3 linked regions of the Sus scrofa genome follow. The protein of the gene in region 1 purifies or fractionates together with the protein of each later gene. This does not show direct contact. Links are inferred from orthologs where the notes say so. Each region holds a gene or a part of one and is shown in the gene's direction. Other genes may lie near its edges.

The links. Proteins that work in one complex are often made in the same cells at the same time.
Region 2: the proteins of RABGGTA (region 1) and CHML purify together in Homo sapiens (co-immunoprecipitation; 3 studies listed by BioGRID and IntAct, counting the BioPlex papers as one, with this or other methods). This does not show direct contact. The link is inferred for Sus scrofa from reciprocal best matches to the Homo sapiens genes RABGGTA and CHML.
Region 3: the proteins of RABGGTA (region 1) and CHM purify together in Homo sapiens (co-immunoprecipitation; 4 studies listed by BioGRID and IntAct, counting the BioPlex papers as one, with this or other methods). This does not show direct contact. The link is inferred for Sus scrofa from reciprocal best matches to the Homo sapiens genes RABGGTA and CHM.

What each region holds. Positions count from the first base shown.
Region 1 is NC_010449.5:75,019,270-75,025,998, forward strand, and holds the start of RABGGTA (geranylgeranyl transferase type-2 subunit alpha), read left to right. Parts: upstream 1-2,858; 5' UTR 2,859-2,903; coding exon 2,904-2,906; intron 2,907-3,066; coding exon 3,067-3,177; intron 3,178-3,547; coding exon 3,548-3,672; intron 3,673-3,857; coding exon 3,858-4,045; intron 4,046-4,306; coding exon 4,307-4,510; intron 4,511-4,831; coding exon 4,832-4,915; intron 4,916-4,999; coding exon 5,000-5,082; intron 5,083-5,172; coding exon 5,173-5,274; intron 5,275-5,382; coding exon 5,383-5,488; intron 5,489-5,583; coding exon 5,584-5,635; intron 5,636-5,808; coding exon 5,809-5,897; intron 5,898-6,039; coding exon 6,040-6,128; intron 6,129-6,219; coding exon 6,220-6,336; intron 6,337-6,729. UniProt on the Homo sapiens protein: Catalyzes the transfer of a geranylgeranyl moiety from geranylgeranyl diphosphate to both cysteines of Rab proteins with the C-terminal sequence -XXCC, -XCXC and -CCXX, such as RAB1A, RAB3A, RAB5A and RAB7A.
Region 2 is NC_010452.4:11,833,128-11,839,964, forward strand, and holds the start of CHML (rab proteins geranylgeranyltransferase component A 2), read left to right. Parts: upstream 1-2,344; 5' UTR 2,345-2,739; intron 2,740-5,816; 5' UTR 5,817-6,141; coding exon 6,142-6,837. UniProt on the Homo sapiens protein: Substrate-binding subunit (component A) of the Rab geranylgeranyltransferase (GGTase) complex. Binds unprenylated Rab proteins and presents the substrate peptide to the catalytic component B.
Region 3 is NC_010461.5:69,061,792-69,068,726, reverse strand, and holds the start of CHM (rab proteins geranylgeranyltransferase component A 1), read left to right. Parts: upstream 1-2,442; 5' UTR 2,443-2,477; coding exon 2,478-2,526; intron 2,527-6,935. UniProt on the Homo sapiens protein: Substrate-binding subunit of the Rab geranylgeranyltransferase (GGTase) complex.

The sequences.
Region 1 (6,729 bases):
ACCTGTTTAACTTAACCCCCTGAGCAAGGCCAGAGGTCAAACCCGCATCCTCACGGACACTATGTTCTTAACCCTCTGAGCCACAATGGAAACTCTGAGAACTTGTTTTAGAGGAACTCAGTTTCACTGGCTGTACTCCCTGCCAGCTGTATGACCTTGGGCAAGCAACTTAGCCTCTGTGAACTGTATGCATTGTTTCCTCATTGTAAAATAACACCTACTTCACATAGAGAGTGAGTGCATCAAAAAAGATGTCTGGAGCTCGGTCAGCACTCAGTTATTGCTTGTTCTTATCTCTATATAGAAGGCGGCAAAATCCCTTCCTCAAGCGTCATTTAGATTGTGGCCCTCAGACACCTGCACAGTTCCCACTTATCCCACACAAGAGGCCAAATATAACTCCTGACATCTCCTTTTGCCTTAAAGCCAGAGGCTTGTCATTGATTCCACTGCTCTTATCTTTCCAAAGGCACCTGGTTCGGCTTCTGTCTGCCAGCCAGCTAAGTCTGTTTGGCTTTCACTCCCCCACCTTCCTGTCATAGCACATGCCTAAAATGCCTTTCCTACCTTCTTTCCAAAACCAGGACCCACCTTCTTGGAAGCAAATTTGAGACTCATTTCCTCTCTTAAGCCTGCTTGACTCAAACTTCCTAGTTTCAGGATTGCTAACCATTAAAAAACATTTCATGCTTCCTTATTCAGTCTTCCTCTACCCCCTTTCCTCCACCCTTGGTGACTATGATGTAAGATTGTAGCTGGCAGATCTGCACTGTGGGCAATCTGACAGAGGGTCTGTGGGAATATGGTTTCAATCTTGGCCTCACTCAATGGGTTAAGGATCTGGTGTTGCTGCAAGCTGTGGTGTAGATCACAGATGTGGCTCAGATTCTGCATTGCCGTGGCTATGGTATAGGCCAGCAGCTGCAGCTCCAATTTGACCCCTAGCCTGGGAACTTCCATATGCTGCAGGTGTGGCCCTGAAAAGAAAAAAAATTAAAAAAAGATAAAAGGAGTTATTCTGGCAAAGGAAGGGCTGTGGAAGAAAAAGAATAAAGAAGAGGGAACAGACTAGATGCCTGGGAAACTGCAAGTCCTTCTATCAGCTGTAATGAAGGGTTTTTAACAGGGACAGGCAGGACATGACACCCGAGGGGCAAGCAAGTCCCATGTGCCAAGAATCTTGATGTGCTGACCTGAGACGTTCAAAGTCTTTCCTAAAAAGTTGTCAGGAGCCATGGAAGGGTTTTAGGCAGAGATGTAACATGACTGAATTTACATTTCGGAAAGACTGATTCAGCAGCACAGGGATGAACTGATAAAAGAGGGGACAGGATGGAGATGGGGGAACACTGAAAAGACTTTCAACAATCCCAGGAATAAATATGCTTAAGTTTTTAATGTAGTGGGAATGGAAGGATACTAAAGAAATGTTGGGGGGGGTCATCCACTAAAATAGGAAACATAAAGGCTAAAGTTTAGACTGGAAGGGGAGACAGTAATATCTCTCAACTTTTGGAGTTTGATGGGACAACTAGGTGCTACCTAATAAGCTTGTGAATGTGTGTTTGTGTGTATATTTTTTTCTAATATTAAAGTTTGCAAGACATCTGGGCTGGAGACATGTTTGAATGTCATCAAACTTACAGGTAGAAATTAAAACCACGACTGTGGATGAAGTCACCCAGGGAAATTGTGGGTCAGAAGTTCTGTGGACCCAGGATAGAACTCTGGGGAGCTCCAGCTCCAAGCAGTTGAAGACTTGGGTCTGTGAACATTCTCCCGGGAAGGTGTTCAAAATGGAAAGGAGTGAGGGAAGGGCCCTGGAAACCCACATTTAGGGGAGGAGAAAGTTAACAGATGAGAAGGGGAGGGCAAGTGTGCAGGAGAAGCCAGGACAGGGGGTCCGAGGGAGGTCAGTTGCATCAAATGCTGCAAAAGTCTCCTGCTGTCTAGTACTAGGAACTCTATCTAGTCACTTATGATGGAGCATGATGGAGCATAATGTGAGAAAAAGGAATGTATATGTGTACGTGTGACTGGGTCACCTTGCTGTACAGTAGAAAATTGACAGAACACTGTAAACCAGCTATAGTGGAAAAAATAAAAATCATTTATAGAATAAAATAAAACCATGACCAGAAAAGTGGTTAAAAACAACAACAACAACAAATGATGCAAAAGTCAATGAAAGACAGGAAAGCCCATCCCTTAGATTTGGCAACTAAGAGGTGTACAGTGCGGCCAGAGTGAGGTCAAGCGAGCGATAACGGCGTGGGCTTCCGGCTGGTGGCGAAAACTTTTCAACTGAAACACACTTTGAAGAGCTGCCGGGAAGTGCAGACCGCACTGCTTTCGCACCAGCGGCCTAACAGACTGAGACTTGGCGTTTCCGGACTGCCGGCTCCGCCGCAGGCCCTTCGCCAGGCCTGCAGAGGGCGCTGCGCTTCAGAGAGCCGAGGCGTGACGCCGCTCTAGCCAACGTTTGGGCTCGCTGGCGGGCGCCGCATCTCTGCGTTCCGCAGTCCTCCTCGCAGTACAGGTGGGTCCGCGCGCAGGGGGCGGCGGTGCTTGCGAGCTATGGGGCAGGCGGGTAGCGGCACCCATTGGGTGGGGAGTTGTCCCGATCACTTAAGTGCGGCAGATTGGGTCCAGCCCCAGCGGATCGGACTCTGGATAGGGCCGCACGGGTGCAAGCCCCAGTTCGGTGGGTGCCTTTTGGACTTGCAGTGCCTGTCCCAGGACCCCTTATTACCCCAGAGGTCTCCGCCCAGGCTCGCGTGCGACTTCCTGGGGACAGCTAGGGGCGGGGCTCCCAGGGGCGGGGTTCCCATGATTGACACTTCTTTCCTCAGATTTCACGGGCGCTCCTGGACCCTCCCCTGCCCTGAACCTGAGCCAGCACCATGGTGAGAACCCTGAACCTAGCCCCTCTCCTCCGCATGCCCATGCCCACGGCCTTGCCCCGCGTGGCCTTGCCAGATATAAACCTGAGACTCCGCAGTGGGGGTTTGGTGGGTTTGCCCCTGCAAGGCAGCCTGTTCTCGTCCAACCCGCGCATCCCTGTAGCACGGGCGCCTGAAGGTGAAGACATCAGAAGAGCAAGCAGAAGCCAAAAGGCTAGAGCGGGAACAGAAGCTGAAGCTATACCAGACAGCCACCCAGACCGTCTTCCAGAAGGTGGGGCCCTCAGACGTAGCCCCCTCCTGCAGCGGCTCCCTTAGTACAGCACTGAGGCCAAGAGCTGGGCCTTAGAGTCAGACCGCCTGGATCCACATCTGGTTTCTATCACTTAATAGCTGTGTGACCTTAGGCAAACTATTAAATCTCTTTGGACCTCAGTTTGCCCGTCTGTAAAATGGGGCTAATAATTACACTTAAGATTGTTGTTAAAATTAAACGAAAGAATACGAGGAAACCCATATAGTGCTCTGTAGAGTACCTGTTGTATAGTGTGGGATTCACAGAACAGTCTGTAGTTCTATTTATGGTCTTCAGTCCTGTGGTGGGAGATTGATATGATCTCTGACCCTGCTGTCTATCTTCTCAGCGTCAGGCTGGAGAGCTGGATGAGTCAGTGCTGGAACTGACAAGCCAGATTCTGGGAGCCAACCCTGACTTTGCCACACTCTGGAACTGTCGACGGGAGGTGCTTCAGCGGCTGGAGGTCCAGAAGTGCGTAGGGGTTCAGGGCCCAGGGAAGATGGCTCTGGCCTTGCCCCACCTGGGTCCAAGGATAGAGGACGAATGGGGCAGCCGAGGCATAGGCAGAAGGCAGTGGAGGGCTGGGTGCAAAAAGTCAGAGGTGAGCTGAGATTGGGTGTTGGAGGGCCCTGACCCTCATTCCCCTCTGGGTGCAGGTCCCCGGAAGAGTTGGCCGCTTTGGTGAAGGCAGAACTGGGCTTCCTGGAGAGCTGTCTGAGGGTGAACCCCAAGTCTTATGGTACCTGGCACCACCGCTGCTGGTTGCTGGGTCGCCTGCCAGAGCCCAACTGGGCCCGGGAGCTGGAGTTGTGTGCCCGCTTCCTCGAGGTTGATGAGCGGAACTGTACGTGCCTGCAGATTCTGTCCCCACAGGGCTCAATTGCCCCACATCCTGGTACAGCACCTCAGTAAGGCCCAGAGTGGGCAGGGATGGCCTGACAGGCCCAGTGAGCTGATGGCCAAAGGGATGAATGATGGAACCAAATGCATCCTCCGTGGAGTGCGTAGAAGTGTTTCTCAGGGCCTCCAAGGGAACTCCACGGGTACCAACCGGGGAGCTCCTCTGGCCCTGCATCTGAGATGTGCCGTCTGCCCTCCCCTGCAGTTCACTGCTGGGACTACCGGCGGTTTGTGGCCTCCCAGGCAGCTGTCCCCCCCGCGGAGGAGCTAGCCTTCACGGACAGCCTCATCACCCGAAACTTCTCCAACTACTCCTCCTGGCATTACCGCTCCTGCCTCTTGCCCCAGTTGCACCCCCAGCCAGACTCTGGACCCCAGGGGCGCCTCCCTGAGGATGTGCTGCTCAAAGGTAAGCAGAGTCAGGGGGTGCTGTGCAGTGCCGCCTTTCCAGCCCTGATGCCTAGCCCTGTTTCCGAACCTGCCACTGGGTTTACTGAGTACCCACTTTGTGCCTGGCTCTGAGGGTGCACAAGATCCAGCCCCTGGCTGCAGCAAGCTCAGGTGTCCAATGGCAAAGAAAAAAACTGACATATGTAGTAGCCCCTGGGCAAGGCCAGCGTATAAGTGAAACTGAGGGCTGCAGGTTCTCCAAAGAGGAGGTGGGATGTCGGGGTGGCCAGGAGCCCAGCAGGGTCCCAACCACAGCCCCATATCTCCTTGGCCCCCACAGAGCTGGAGCTGGTGCAGAACGCCTTCTTCACTGACCCCAACGATCAGAGTGCCTGGTTCTACCATCGCTGGCTCCTGGGACGAGGTGAGCAGTGGGGAAAGAGGCTTAGTGATTAGAGCTTGGAACAAATGGAAGAATATATAAGGAAGCCTGTTGTCTCCCTTGCAGCTGATCCCCAGGATGCCCTGCGCTGCCTGCACGTGAGCCGGGATGAGGCCTGTCTGACTGTCTCCTTCTCCCGGCCCCTCCTAGTGAGTCTTGCACCCTTTACCGGAGAACATCGTAGATTGGGGGCCTGGTGCTGTTGGAGTGATGGGTCTCTCATTTGTCCTCTGTGCCAGGTGGGCCCCAGCACGGAGACCTTGCTGCTCATGGTTAATGAGTCACCCCTGTCCGTGGAGTGGAGGACCCCAGATGGCAGGAACCGGCCTAGCCATGTCTGGGTATCCCAGGAGTGGTGGGGCAGAGTTGGGGGTGCTGGGGCAGGGTTGGGATAGGACAGTCAGAAAAGTGGGTGCAGCCTGGGCTTTTCCTTAACGTCATGCTCCCAGCTCTGTGACCTGCCTGCCGCCTCCCTCAACGACCATTTGCCGCAACATACGTTTCGTGTCATTTGGACAGCAGGCAATGCCCAGAAGGAGTGTGTGCTCTTAAAAGGTGACACAGCCTGCAGCTTCCACCTCTCGCAGCAGCCCCCCACTCCTCTCCTCCTCTCATGGGTGTCCCCTCCTTCCACCTACTCTTTCTCTCAGGCCGCCAAGAGGGCTGGTGCCGAGACTCAGCCACAGATGAACAGCTCTTCAGGTGATGACAGGGAACATACAGACAAGGAGCAAGGCTCTGGACTCTGGGCATCAGGCAGCTGGGGCGGGGGGGCTGAGGGCTTAAGCAGATGGTCTTGGCCTGGATACTAGGGAGGACTGGTGCCCAGGGCTGTTTGTGGGCATCACCCCCTCCCCCACTTCCTCCACCCTCAGGTGTGAGCTGTCAGTGGAGAAGTCCACGGTGCTGCAGTCTGAGCTGGAATCCTGTAAGGAGCTGCAGGAGCTGGAGCCTGAGAATAAATGTGAGGTCCAATTCCCTGAGATCCTGCTCCTCCAGGGAGGCCCTTTTCTGGGGGCCCCTTGGGGAGAGCAGGGCAGCTCTCCAGAGGATGGGAGCAGAGGAGGATCCAAGGGAGACCATCCTCTTCCCTGCCATCTCCCCAGGGTGCCTGCTCACCATCATCTTGCTGATGCGGGCGCTGGACCCCCTGCTGTATGAGAAGGAGACGCTGCAGTACTTCCAGACCCTCAAGGCAAGTCTGGCCTGTGGAAACCGGTGTAGGGCAGCCCCAATGGGCAGGAGGGCTGCTGACACGCGTTCCCTGTCGGCCCCCTCCCTGCCAGGCAGTGGACCCGATGCGGGCCGCGTACCTGGATGACCTGCGCAGCAAGTTCCTGCTGGAGAACAGCGTGCTCAAGATGGAGTACGCGGACGTGCGCGTGCTGCATCTGGGTCACAAGGTAGGGACTGCGCATGTGCCTTCCTGGCCAGCCCTCTTCCTCACCTCCCAGCTGGCTGGCTTTGATGTCCACTCCCTGGGCTTCGGCTGAGACCCTCACCAGCTCCTGGCTCTGTCTTCAGTCTCAGGTACCTTTCTGGATTCGTCTTCCTCAGCTCATCCCCATGCTTCTCTCCCTGGAGCAGGCACCAACCCCAAAGCCTGGATAGATTCCAGAGATTTCTGACGAACTTTCCAGATTCTTTTTTTCCTCTCTTTGTAGTCCTTCCCAATCAGTCTTCCCGACATAGCAGATCTGTCCCATCACTGCTGCCCACCTTCGCTCCCACCAAAGCAATCCCCCAGACTTACCCGGCCTGCACCTGCCAGGGTCTGTGTCTATCCCAGCACCCTC
Region 2 (6,837 bases), on another chromosome or scaffold:
GAGGGGATGTGCTTGGGCTGTGGGATGGAAATCCTGTGAAATTGGATTGTGATGATCATTGTACAACTACAGATGTGATAAATTCATTGAGTAATAAATAAAATAAAATAAAGGTAATGGTAGGGAAATGGGAAGAGCTGTGTGTGCTGTTCCCTCCACACTCATCCCCCTCCCTTACCCCCCAGAGGTTCTCCAGGCCACAGCAGGCTCCGTTTTGGACGGTTAACAGGTGTTTTCCATGAGTTTTTACATTTCAATATTACAACGCTGTGGAATTTATATGCCTTAACAGTGACCAGAAAGGCTTTGAGAACTAAGATGTCAACCAAGGGCACTGAAGAACAGCTGGAAAAAGATATTGGAGATCAAGTTCATTTCACTTGCACCTACCGAGTCCAGCTCACTCAGTAAACTGGTTACATCTGCACGCTTCTCCTACTTTAACAGAATGAGATGCAGGCACAATCTGAAAATGCTTTTTATTGTGGCAAAATATGCAGAACATAAAATTTATCATCTCAGTCATTTTAAGTGAGCAGTTCAGTGGCATAATCAACTATCTACCTGTGCTACCATCCCCGCTCTTCATTTCCAGAACTTTGACAACCTCCCGAACTGAAGCTCTGTACCCGTGAACCGCTAACTCCCCATCCCGCCCTCCCCGCAGCCCTGAACTATTCTACATTCTGTCATTAAGAATTTGCCTATTCTCAGTCCCTCACAGAAGCGGAATCATATATTTGTCCTTTTGTGTCTGGCTTATTTCACTTAGCATAATGTTTTCAAGATTTATCTATGTTGCAGCACGTATTAGAATTTCATTTCTTTTTATGATGGAATAATATTCATTGTATGTACATATCGCATTTTGTGTATCCATTTTTCTGTGGATGGACATTTGGTTTATTTCCACCGTTTGGCTATTGGGAATACTACTACTATGAACACTGGTGGACAAAATCATGTTCCAGCCCCTGCTTTCAATTAATTCTTTTGGCTATATATCTAGAAGCAGAATGGCTGGATCATACGATAAATCCATGTTTTTTGAGCCACTGCAGTCACAGTGGCTGCATCCTGTTGAGCCACAACAGGAGCTCCTGTCTTATTTTCTTTATGGCACATTTCACAACACTACATATTTGATTATCATCTGTTCTCCCAACACGACTGGAACATAAGCTTTATGAGGACAGGAACTCAGCACCAATGAAAGAATGAATGAATACCTTGGGAAAAAACACAGAGTCCCTCTTCATTTAAGCATGCATCAAACTACTATTTATTAAGACCTTACTGTAGACTAGGCACATGTTGTAAACACAACGGATATTAGGCACAGAGCTTGTTAAATGGTTGTATAAATCTAAAATATAAAATTAGAGTTTTTAAAAGGACTGGGTGGGTGAGTCCCCTAGAGGACAAGTCCAGATCGGAAGCCTTAAGAAAAAATCACCAGCTATTGCTCCATGCACCATGATAGGAAGTAACCTTGTCTTGACAATTAGATTATATCTCCAAGGCCCACAAAACCGGGGTTCAGTGAAGCTAGCAATTTTCTAGGGATCTTCTAATGGAGGTGGGAGACACACTCCCTCGTGGAGGGCAGTTCCTTCGCCCTTGCACAGGCACAGTGCTGGCCAGCGGCGCCCAGGACAGCCTGTAGGACCAGCTCAGGACTGTGCACCCCGCAAAGACTACGGTCAGTTCCGGGACCTATGCTTGCCTTGCCCTCTATTTTCACTGGGTAAAAGGCCAGAGGTGCTGCCCCAGGTATAGCACCCACCTCTCTGCAACTGCGAGATGTGGGCTGGAGCTCGAGGGCGCCGCCTCAGTCGCCACAGCGCCCCTGCATGGAGGACAGCAAGGGCAAAATGAGCAGGCCTGGGGTGCAGCCGGGGCTTACCTCAAGTGTGCAGTACGCGAGCGGGTAGTAACAGCTTCCCGGAGAGGGAGAAGCCAAAGGATCCTGCCATAAATGGTCCTTAATGAGGGAGTGAGTGGGGAAAGAGGAGAGCCCTTCCAGCTGGGTGAGGAGGGCTGCGGAGAGAGGAGCCCCCGGCGATGCTTTGCCTCCAGGCCCCCACGGACTGTGCCGGCGGTGGCGGGTTACTGGGGACCTCAGGGCGTGGGGAGAGGACCCGGCGAATCAGGAAGCAGCTTGGACAGCGAGCAGGGGAGGGGTTAAGGTTGGGAGGTGCTCCGGGGCGGGGCTACAGGGCGCTAGGGGGCGGGGTTACGGCTGGGAGGGGCGTAGGGGCGGGGCTACAGGGAGGGAAAGGGCGGGGTTACGGTAGGGAGGGGGTAGGGGCGGGGCTACAGGGCGGGAAGGGGCGGGGTTACGAGCGGCGTCAGCGGTCTGCGCAGGGGCAGAAAGGGGCGACGGGGACCTCTGAGTGCGCAGAGCCCCGCGCAGAGCCCCAACCAGAGCGGTGCGCGCCGGCGCCTGGCGTGCACACCCAGAGAGGTGGCGGGGCGGCGAGGGCGCCGTGGGGCCCTCACGCCGCCTATCGGGGCGACTACGGGTGCGGGGCACTGCTGCGCCGGAAGCATCCTGCTGCTGCTCGTCCTCTACTTCAAATTCCAGCGGCTCCGCAGCCCCGCTTCGCCGGGCGCCCCCTGCTCATCGTTAGCCTCCGCCACCTGCTGCCTTCCGTTCTCGCGGCCGCGGTGGCTTTCGCGCCCCACAGAGGGGCGGCGCGGATGGTGCGTGAGACGGCTTCATCAGCAGCCTGTAGGGTGAGTGCCGGCGGAGACCGCCTCCTTCTGCGCCCCGACCTAGAGGCTGTGCTCTCCTGACCTCGCCTCCCCCGCCTCGACATCTCTTCCTCCGGCCTCCCCGCCTCACTTCATCCGCTCCCAGACCTCACTCCCTCCACCGGTCCTCCTCGCTCGCTGATCTCCGCCCCTCCCCGTGCTCCCAGGCCCCTCGCCCACCCAGACCCCAGCCTGCTGCCGCAGCTCCTCAATCACCTGCTCGGGAGCTCATCTCACTTGTCTGCTTTCACCTCCTGATTTAATTCAGTAGGGCCCGAGACAGTGGTTTTGACACTTTGAGGAAAGAAACGAGAGGGTGAAGTCAAGAACTTCAAGAAAAAAAGTGGTAGTATTTGTGAAACTTGGAGAGGGTGATGAGAAGTGATTTAATTCATATATTATTTTGCTAAAATGAGAGGTAGAAATCTGACATAGCAACAATGTGTAAATTTTTTTTTAAAATGCTCATTATCAGTTGTAAACCTTTGCTTTCTAGGAAGTGAAATAGTTTTATTCAGGTCCTCAGAATGCAAATTGTGCTCTATAAGCTATTTTTACTATATTTTCCTCCTTATAGGTTCCACCACACCAAAATATAAGGCGAGATTGCAAAAATGGCTCAGAGAACCCCTACTGAAATGGACAGATAATTAGCTATGCAGCCAGTAGATTTCATTAAACTAGAACTTGATCGTTAATTGAAATTTTTTATTTTTTTATTTTTTTGTCTTTTTGCTATTTTTTGGGCCGCTCCCGCGGCACATGGAGGTTCCCAGGCTAGGGGTCTAATCGGAGCTGCAGCCACCGGCCTACGCCAGAGCCACAGCAACGTGGGATCCGAGCCGCGTCTGCAACACCACAGTTCATGGCAACTCCGGATCGTTAACCCACTGAGCAAGGGCAGGGATCGAACCCGCAACCTCATGGTTCCTAGTCGGATTCGTTAACCACTGCGCCATGACGAGAACTCCCTGAAATTTTTTAAAAAACTACTCTTACTCCTATTGAAGATTTAAATCTCACTGAGATTGACATTTCAAAGGACGAGCTACCCAACGTGTCATTGAAGATGTGATTTTTCCAAGCTTGGGAAAGAAACTATTTTTGTGTGTGTGGTCCAGAAGTTTCACTTATACAAAGATTTGAAATAGAAATGTATATTTCTCAGGTCGTAAGTTTCCTTTTAAAAAGTCCTAAAATCCCTAATAATTTATTACTGCTTTTATCTTAACAGGTTTAGAAGAGCAAAACCTTTGTAGCATTATCAAAATATTGATAATCACTAACCTATGTGGTAACAAACTCAAATATTATGTATGTTATGATTCCTTAATACATACCTACATATATATTTTTTTTTTTCTTTTTTCCCTTTTTATAGCTGCACCTGTGGCCTATGGAAGTTCCCAGGTTAGGGGTTGAATCAGAGCTGCAGCTGCCAGCCTACATCACAGCCAGGCAATACTGGATCCAAGCCTCATCTGCGACCAGCACCACAGCTTGCAGCGTTGCCAGATCCTTAACCCACTGAGCCAGGCCAGGGATTGAATCCGCATCCTCACAGACACTACGTCCAGCTCTTAACCTGCTGAGCCACAATGGGAAGCCCTCTTTTTTTATATTTTGCAGGAAACAAGAAAATGTCGTAGAAATCATAATTTCACTTATTTGATGGCCTCAGTGATTCTGATATTCTAATAATACCAACCCTTTCCCAATAAACATTAATCTGAGAACTTCAACTATATAAGACTTGAAACCTGGGAGGAAGCTATAGGTGTGTGTAGGTGTTGCTATAGATGCAGTAGATTGCACTCTTTATATTAATGTCTGATGCCTGCCGGCAGTGTTCAGGCAAGGCTGAGGTTTAAAGAGGGCCGTTCATGCAGAGCCTGACATATCCTCAGTGGCAGATACTGGGTCACAGACGTGAAAGTTCTGATCTACAAGAAAGACTTTGTGCTGGTAAATTCTGTTTCTATTCCAGCTCCGTGCCCGGGAGCTTGGAGACGAGTGTATTGGGGTCTTTATTGGTACCAACGTCCCCCTCTTCCTCATCCGTTCCATCTTGCAGCCCCACCCTGATGTGTCTCCTCGTCTTTTCCATCCTTTTTCTCTCTCTCATCATCCCTGCTCTGGTCCCACCCCAATCAGAAGGAATTTTCTAAGCCAACTAGAAAATTGTGGCTCGCTGGTAACAAACCTGACTAGTATCCATGAGGATGCAGGTTCAATCCCTGGCCTTGCTCACTGGGTTAAGGATCCAGCGTTGCCGTGAGCTGTGGTGTAGGCTGGCAGCTGCAGCTCCAATTCAACCCCTAGCCTGGGGACTTCCATATGCCACAGGTACAGCTCTAAAAAGCAAAAAAAAAAAAAAAAAAGGCATTTTAACATACAGACCCAGGCCTTTACCTTTTTTACTTACATCTAAAAAATACACGTATGAGGATTTGTATACATACATTTTCCTTTTGATAGACCAGTTGTTTCATGTACCTAAATATTTTTAAATGCTACTTGTTTTATTGAAATTAATCCTTTTGTAATTATCTGAGCGGCGAAGTCAATTGAAATAGTCCCATGTTGCTACCACGAGATCCTAAAGGCAGGTGGGATAAAGAAAAGCCTTCCATTCATCTGTCCTAGAATGACCCGTAGACCGTGTTGGCCGTAAAAATATTCCTCATCGTGACAGTGTGCGCAGAGTACGTAGTCGGTGTCCATAAACACAGTGGAGCCACAAGTTCCTTTAATCTCACAGTTGTGTGTCATTCACATGCTTAGCAAAAGTTACGAAATTATGTCAGTTTTTCTTTATTCTTGTTGGATGTTATTATGTCCATTCTTCATTGTTGAATTGCCTAATTTGGTGAAATGGCTATCTTTTGTTCATTTTCAGGAAATTAGGAAACATGAGGAAGCATTTAAGGACTTGATTTAGTAGAGGTTTATGTCCTGATTACACGTCTGGCTCCACTGGTTGTACTTGCTGTTGCATGAAGTTACTTTCTCTCAATACTGTTGACCACAGTGTTCTTTCTTGAATTTTCTGCTTTCAGAGAAGGGTTCCAGTCACAAAAGCACGTGTGACACGTTGTGACATTCGCTGCTAAGACGAAACGCCGACGTGAGATCCATATACTTGCTGTAGTGTTCTCAGGTGTGATTGGATGTACTTCAGCAGGGTTTTATGCTGCTGACCTGTAAGGAAAAAAAGATATTAAAAAGGGTAACAAACACCCAGGACCTGTACCCTCGGCACTCTGGGGTGATCTGGAACAGTACAAGGTGTTCCAGCATCTTTGCACCTCGTCTGAGCCCTCAGCCTAGACTCATGCACATTTCCTTCCCTGGAAGTTGTCACCAGATGTCTGATGTTCCAGGATGGCCAGCAGTCTCCCAGCAGAGTTTGATGTGATCGTGTTAGGGACCGGTTTGCCTGAATCCATCCTTGCAGCTGCATGTTCCAGAAGTGGTCGTCGGGTTCTGCATCTCGATTCAAGAAGTTACTATGGAGGAAACTGGGCTAGTTTCAGCTTTTCAGGATTGCTCTCCTGGGTGAAGGAATATCAGCAAAGCAGTGACCCTGAGGAAGAAAGTCCTGCTTCATGGCAAGACCTGATCCATGAAACAGAAGAAGCCGTCGCTCTTCGAAGGAAGGATGAAACCATTCAACACCCAGAAGTTTTTTGTTACGCCAGTCAGGATGTGGATGACAATCCTGAAGAGATTGATGTTCTGCAGAAAAATCTTTCCTGGGTGGCACCTGGCACCCTCATTAAACCTCAGGACTCTGCAAGCTTGTCTGGAGAAACACCCTCGTACGTCACTGGCTCTGAAACGCCTGCCAAAGACACTCCAGAAAACGGTGGAGAAATGACTGATAGATCAGAAACCCTGGTGACGGAAGAATATGGTGGAGGTGAAACCTGTAAACACACAGTTTCAGATGGCACTAAAGATGGCATCAGACCTGTATTGGAAGACCACGGCAATCCGCCAAAGAGGAAGAGGATTACCTACGCTCAAATAGTGAAAGAAAGCAGGAGGTTTAATATTGATTTGGTATCAAAACTGCTT
Region 3 (6,935 bases), on another chromosome or scaffold:
CCTGGGAAATCTATTAATTTTCATTTCTTCTGCTGGTTTTAGAGTCTCACAGATCTCACAGATAAGATCTATTTCACTTCTGATACTACTCAAAACTTTCTTTTTGTATCAAGACAAATGGCAGAGTGATTTACTGAACAATACATTTCACTTTTCAGAGTAATCTCTATTACACAAAATATTTATGAGAGGACCCTATGGCAAGAGAATTGATCAAAACAACAAGAGAATCCATAAAAGATGTTTATACAACATGTATAATATTACTATTGATATGGCAAAAACACAAAAAATGCAGCAAAACAATCCAATAAAATACAGTATTAAAGAATTTTTATGGAACTCAAGATAACTATTGAGTATCATCAAAATATAAGACACATGCTGATGATGGGCAGATATAAAAGTGTAGACTCAGAGTTCCCACCGTGGCTCAGTGGTTAATGAATCCGACTAGGAGCCATGAGGTTGCGGGTTCAATGCCTGGCCTTCCCCAGTGGGTTAAGGATCCAGCGTGGCAGTGAGCTGTGCTGCAGGTCGCAGATGTGGCTCGGATCTGGCGTTGCTAGGCTCTGGCGTAGGCCGGCGGCTACAGCTCTGATTCGACCCCTAGCCTGGGAACCTCCATGTGCTGCAGGTGTGGCCCGACAAAAAGACAAAAAAAAAAAAAAAGTGTAGACTCAGTTCTTGTCTCCACAGTACTTACCATCTATTAGAACCAAGCTCAGTTCAGCAAACACTATTGAATTCCTACTACACACGAGAGTTATTTTAGATGCAGGGGGTAAAAAGAGAAATAGGGGACAATCCCTGTCACGTAGGGGCTTATAATTTAGGGTTTTGTATACCTGGGTGTATATTTTGGGGCATGTGTGTCCTGTATAGGACCCAACATAAATGCCAATAATTTTCAGTGCAATGTGGGAGGTTATGACCAAGTGGTAGGGAAGGGAAATGTAACCCAGTATAGGGAGGAGATGTAAGGAGGTGGTGGTAGAAGCAGCACTGAATCTTGGGGATAAATGTTAGCCAGAGAATGGGAAGATCATTCCATGCTGAAGGAACAAAGTGTGACTGAAGAACCATAAACAACACAGAGGTCAGTCCGGTGGTTTAAGGGAAGGCCCACCATCGCATTCTCTGAATGATTTTGACACTCTTGTAAAACAACTATACAATGAATTTCTGGAATTAAAGAAGTATCCTTTCTCACTCCATGCACCCTCTCCCTCTCTTTTTTCTTTGGTATTGTCAGACAGCAAAGCATTTTAAATAACGGAAATGGGATGCAGGTGGGAGGAGATCAAACTTCAAAATACCTATGAGAGTTGCATTAGCTGCTTGGCACAGGCAATCTAAGCCCCCTCATCAAATACAATCACTTTAACAGAAAGTCCATTGTGGAGTCCCCATTGTGGCGCAGTGGAAACGAATCCGACTAGTAATCATGAGGTTGTCGGTTGGATCCCTGGTTTCGCTCAGGGAGTTAAGGATCTGGTGTTGCCATGAGCTGTGGTATAGGTCGTAGCTGCCTCTGAGAACCTGCACTGCTGTGGCTGTGGCTTAGGCCAGCAGCTGTAGCTTCTATTCAATCCCTAGTTTGGGAACCTCCATATGCTGCAGGTGCGGCCCTAAAAAAAAAAAAAAAAAAAGAAAAAGGCATATATATATATATATATATGTTCACTTTACCTTGATCATTTAGGCGGTACCTTACTGGGGGAATCTTGTATGAACTCCTGTATATATATATATATATATATATATATATATATGTAAAACCATATTCAGAATCAATCAATGCCTAGGAAGCAACTACTATGCCTTCATATCTTTTTTTCCTTCTGTAAAGCAAGACTAATTTTGCAAATATATATTGCCAGGTTGGCTGTTTAGACTAACTAAAACAAATACAGACGCAGTGAGAGTTCCAGTCTGCCGAAACTAGGGTGAAAATTTTTTTGTGGCTTTTCATTTGGGCGACCTAAAGACAAAAAGATAACAGATAGAGTTTGAAGGTATTGGTGTGAAAAATTATGCCTGGGGGGCCAAAACGAAAGTAGAGACAAGATGGAAGCAACAGTTTCCAGGTTGGAATTAAAATTTCCTTTGTTCACAGAGCAATCCCCTTTCAATTTCACTGTGCCCTCCCTGTCTCCTAACAATTCTTGCTTCATCAGTGTCATGGGGTTCCCAGGTTTTCCCACATTCATCCTAGCCGTCAGAGTAAAAATCTCTTTTGTGTCTCAAAACTCCAGGCTAAAGTCGCGACTGCACTTAGCCCGAAAAATGAATACAGCTTTTAACACTCGTGTAAAACATTTCAACTATAACGCTGTAGCTTTCTACCTGGACCTGCCACTCGAGAACTACAATACCCAGAATGCACTGTTTCCCCTTCCGCCTTCTGCCTCTGCAAAGCCTAACTTGATCTCATTTCCACCTAGCAATAGTCACATGACACATTTCCTGTCAAGATGGCGGAAAATCTCCCCTCGGAGTTTGATGTGATCGTAATAGGGACGGGTATGTGTGGCTATGGTACTCCCTGGACAAACTGTAGGAAGTCTTTCCCGTTCCTACCCTCTCTGTCAGTGGCAAGGGTCGGCGAGAAATGTTGGGGGTCGAGCATAAGAGGGAGGACGGAAAGGAAGTGAGGTAGTCTGGAGTCAGCGCGGGACTTGGCAGCTCCAGGGAGGGGCTTGGACCGGCTGTGCTTAGCGCCATTTGAGTAGGGGTCGATCTGGTCGATGCCGATTGCCGAGGTTGGTTGCTGCGGGTGATTCCTGTAATTTCCTTAGAGGGAGGTGGGTGTACAGTGTCATGAGAATGGAGGGTTGGGATTTTATCAATGGAGACACCTTTGGCATGACATTATGATTTCCTTCTTGTGGATTTCAAGGTGATCCTCCCCATCATTTTGTCTCGCCATTCGTAGGAATTTTTCATATATTTATAAAGTTTTAGGGTGCAGTGCAGCCCGGATACAGCGTGTTAGTTGTTGCCCATGTACGTTTTAATTTACTAAAGCGAGGAAATGGATTCTTTTCTATTGTCTTGAGAATCCTAGGGGGTTGTAATTTTTTGAGGTAGCCATTATTCCTGCTTTATGGTGCTGAAAGAAAGCGTTTTGTTTTCTACCACTCACTTATCTACCCACAGCTAAATTAGCTGAGAACAAGCGTGTCCAGTTCAGGTGTGTGATCTTATCTTCCCCCTTTTCTTCCCCATCGTTTATTCTCCATGTTTTGGGTGGTGACAGAACTTCCCCTTCAATTTCTAGTTGACAAATTACACGTTACAGCATGTGGCAGAAAACATTTGGCAGCAGTTCATGTATTGTTTTTAACAATGTAAAGGATGGATTTTAGATGGAGTGAAATAGTTTGTAGGGAGGGGTTTTCTCCTGTCTGCAGAACGTGGTAGGCTGGAGAAGCTCTGGTGTATGAGACCCTGTCCATTGTGTTAATGAATTCAGTTCATTGTCTTCTCAAATAGTAGGAGTGGCCATGTTTCCAGGTCGGGAGTAAAAATAATAAAACTGTCTATTTTCGATTGTGTATTACTGGCTAATTGATGTGCTAAGCACTTTACAAGCCATATGTAATCCTCACAACAACCTAGTTAGAATAGGTCTTATCTACACTTTACAGAGGAGGGGAAAAGGCTTGGAGAGATCGCAGTTTGCATAAGATCACACAACTGGTAAATTTCCAAAGGCCCATTCCATCCCAGAATGAGAATAAGTGGTTCTGACCCTCAGAGTTAACCCATATGAATAGAAATAATTGGAAAAACTTGGTTCTAGACCCTGCTTGGCCATTAACTAGCTGTGTGAATTTCTAGAGCTAGGCACTTAATCTCTCTGAGTCTCAGTTTCCTTGTTTTTGAATATAGGAAGGCTTTACTGGATAGCCTTTCAGGTGTTGTCTAACTAAAAATTCTCTTATTCTTGTACATGGGTAATTGTTCTCAAAACAGCAAGGACATATTTATTCTCAACCTGAACACCGCATGGCTACAGATAACCTTGCTGTAGCTGCTATGAACAGATGTTGGATGAGAGCTGGAAGGGTTCAGTTAGACTCTATTCTCTCCAGTCTATCCTAAAACTTGGAACAACATCTGCTTTAGAATAGTTGTTATCCATACTTGGGTCCTATGTTACTCCCTTTTTTGTTGTTGCTACCTCAGAACTTAGGGTGTTTTAAAAATTACCTTGAGTCCTTGCGATTTTTTTCTTATCTTGATTAAAATTTTAATTGATGAGTGCTAATTCTTATTATTAAGTGCTGTTAATTCTTATATAAGAAATATTTTGCCATCTAGTTCAGTTTATAATATGGACTACATCCATCCTGTTGGAATCTCATAAAATAAGAGAGTTAGGAAGATTCTGTGACTGATCCAGAAAATTGCATTAGGAGGCATCCTGGATATTTGGGAAAAGATTCATCTTAGACTTATTTCCATGAGAGTAAAGTTATTTCTCAAAGTATGGGGAAAACTTATTTGAAGTTAAAAGTTTTTCATATCACTTAATGAACACATTTTTATCAAGTACATTACTCAAATTTATGATATGTAGCTTTATTTTTAGGTATGTCAAAGTGGAAAAATTGGGTAAAAGTCATTTCCCAAATAAATGAATCCAGTAACCCCAGTCATTAATTAACAAGAATTATTTTAATGTGTTTGGAATATTTATCTTCCAAAATAGTTTGCTGAAAGTAGCCTTTAAAATGTTTTGCGTGGGGAATTTCCGTTGTGGCTCAGAAGGTTAAAAACAGGACTAGTATCCAGGATATGGGTTCCTCCCCTGGCCTCCCTCAGGGGATTAAGGATCTGGCGGTGCAGTGAGCTGTAGGTCACAGACGCAGCTTGGATCTTCTATTGCTGTAGCTGTGGCATAGGTTGGCAGCTGCAACTCCAATTTGACTTCTAGCCCAGGAATTTCCATATGCCACAAATGTGACCCTAAAAAAAGAAAAATAAAATGTAATAAATATAAATACATAAAATAAATAAATAAAATGTTTTGCCTTACTAAATGTGCTTGCTTGAGTAAATCATAGAAAAAGTAGTATTTTAAAGATTCAGTTGTATTAACAAAAGTGGAATTAATCATGCCTGTATTAGAAACATGAAGAAATAGGCAATGAGATGCAGTTTTAAGAGAAAAAGAACTAAAAACAGATTTAGTTCTAGTTAAAATGTTGAGACAATTGCTTCATCAAGTAAAATAATCTATAGTTAATATTATAAATCCCTTTGACCTTGATTAATTTATATTTTCATTCTTCATAATAAAACATTTTCTTTAAGATTATGTTTTGAAGAAATTATGGGAAAATAAAGCTTTGTATATATTCTCTTGTTAAGTAACCCTCTGATTACAAAATACAGGAAATATCTCTCAGGTACCCAAAGGCAGAGGAATAAGATAAAGTACTCGAAATGGAAAATATGGAAGCAAATGGAATAAGAAAGGAGGGCCAAAAGGAGTCTCAAAGGAGAGAACAATAATGGATGCAGTGATGTGTCTAGAAAAGGGCCTTCAGTTTGGGTGCACAGTTGTCATTTTTGACATTTTGCCATTTAAAAAGACATTTATTTGAATGATAATTTTGTGGGTTACAGAGAAGTATCATTGGTTACAGGTTAAAAATAGTCCTAATAACATAACACCTCTCTGGAGGTAACTTATCTGGCAACCTGTATAATCTGTAATCTGCAGCAGAGCCATCAATAGAAGGGCAGGCAAGATGGAAGTTACAAGAGTTAGGTGATAATATTGGCATGTTTCTTACATAGGGGAATCCCTCCTTCTCTCACTTAGAATATATTCATTCTTATTTTAGAAATAATTCTAGCATACTCAGAGCATATTAGAAGCATCCTATTAAGATATAGGAAATGTTATCAACTTCTGCAAAAGCTCTGTGTGTGTGGGGGTGTCATTAGACATAAGGGTTAGTTCATATCCTTACGGGTAAGGAGAGAGACAACTGAAAGGCAAACCTACATCAGAATGTACAGTGGCCTGGGACCATTTAGTGTAGTGACAGACGCTCATTTTTTGTAGGGTATTCAGTCCATATTGACTGAGAACCTAGTCCTGGCCCTTGTGATATTTACTGTATTGCCTATTCTGAGGATCTGTTTGAGGTTCCTGATATCCTCAGAGCCGTTCTAAGTCAATGTGAGCTTTTCATTGCATCCTTCTTGCTTTCTGAAGACCATATAGAGAATTATTCTGCATCTCTTTCCTTTCTTTCTTTTTTTTTTTCCCACTGAGCCCACACATGTAGAAGTTCCTAGGCAAGGTATCAAACCTGCCCCACAGCAGTGATCCAAACCACTGCAGTGACAGTGCCAGATCCTTAACCTGCTGAGCCATAAGAGAACTCCCTGCCTCCCTTTCCTTTCTAAAGTCCACCATACATACTATGTTTGGAGTTCTTCCCCTAAATGGGCTGTGGAGTAGACTAACTCAACATTTTTCCTTCAGAGGATGAACACATAGATCCTTTTGCTTTAAGAGTTTTATTGCTAAAGATTGTGGGGAAAGAAATGACATAACAAAAATAATAAGCATGGGGGAAATTACAAGGGGTATTGCTCCTAAATCCTGACTACCTCCCTGGATCATGCTGCAGCATAATACAGTAATAAGATACGGCAGCATGGCATAATGGGAATCACTTGACTTTCCTACTGGGTGGCTTTGTGCAAATCGTCCCCAAAACTCTTGGGACATCAATTTGTTCATCTGTAAAGTGAGAGACCTGATTGGTGAACTCTAAGGTAGGCATGTACTAGCTCTAAAATTTTTTCATTGTGTGTGCATAGTTAGGACCCTGGATCCTTGAGAAAAGGCTAAATTCTGTACAATTCTTTTAAGAGTTCAAGTCAGTGTTTAATATACTTCAGAA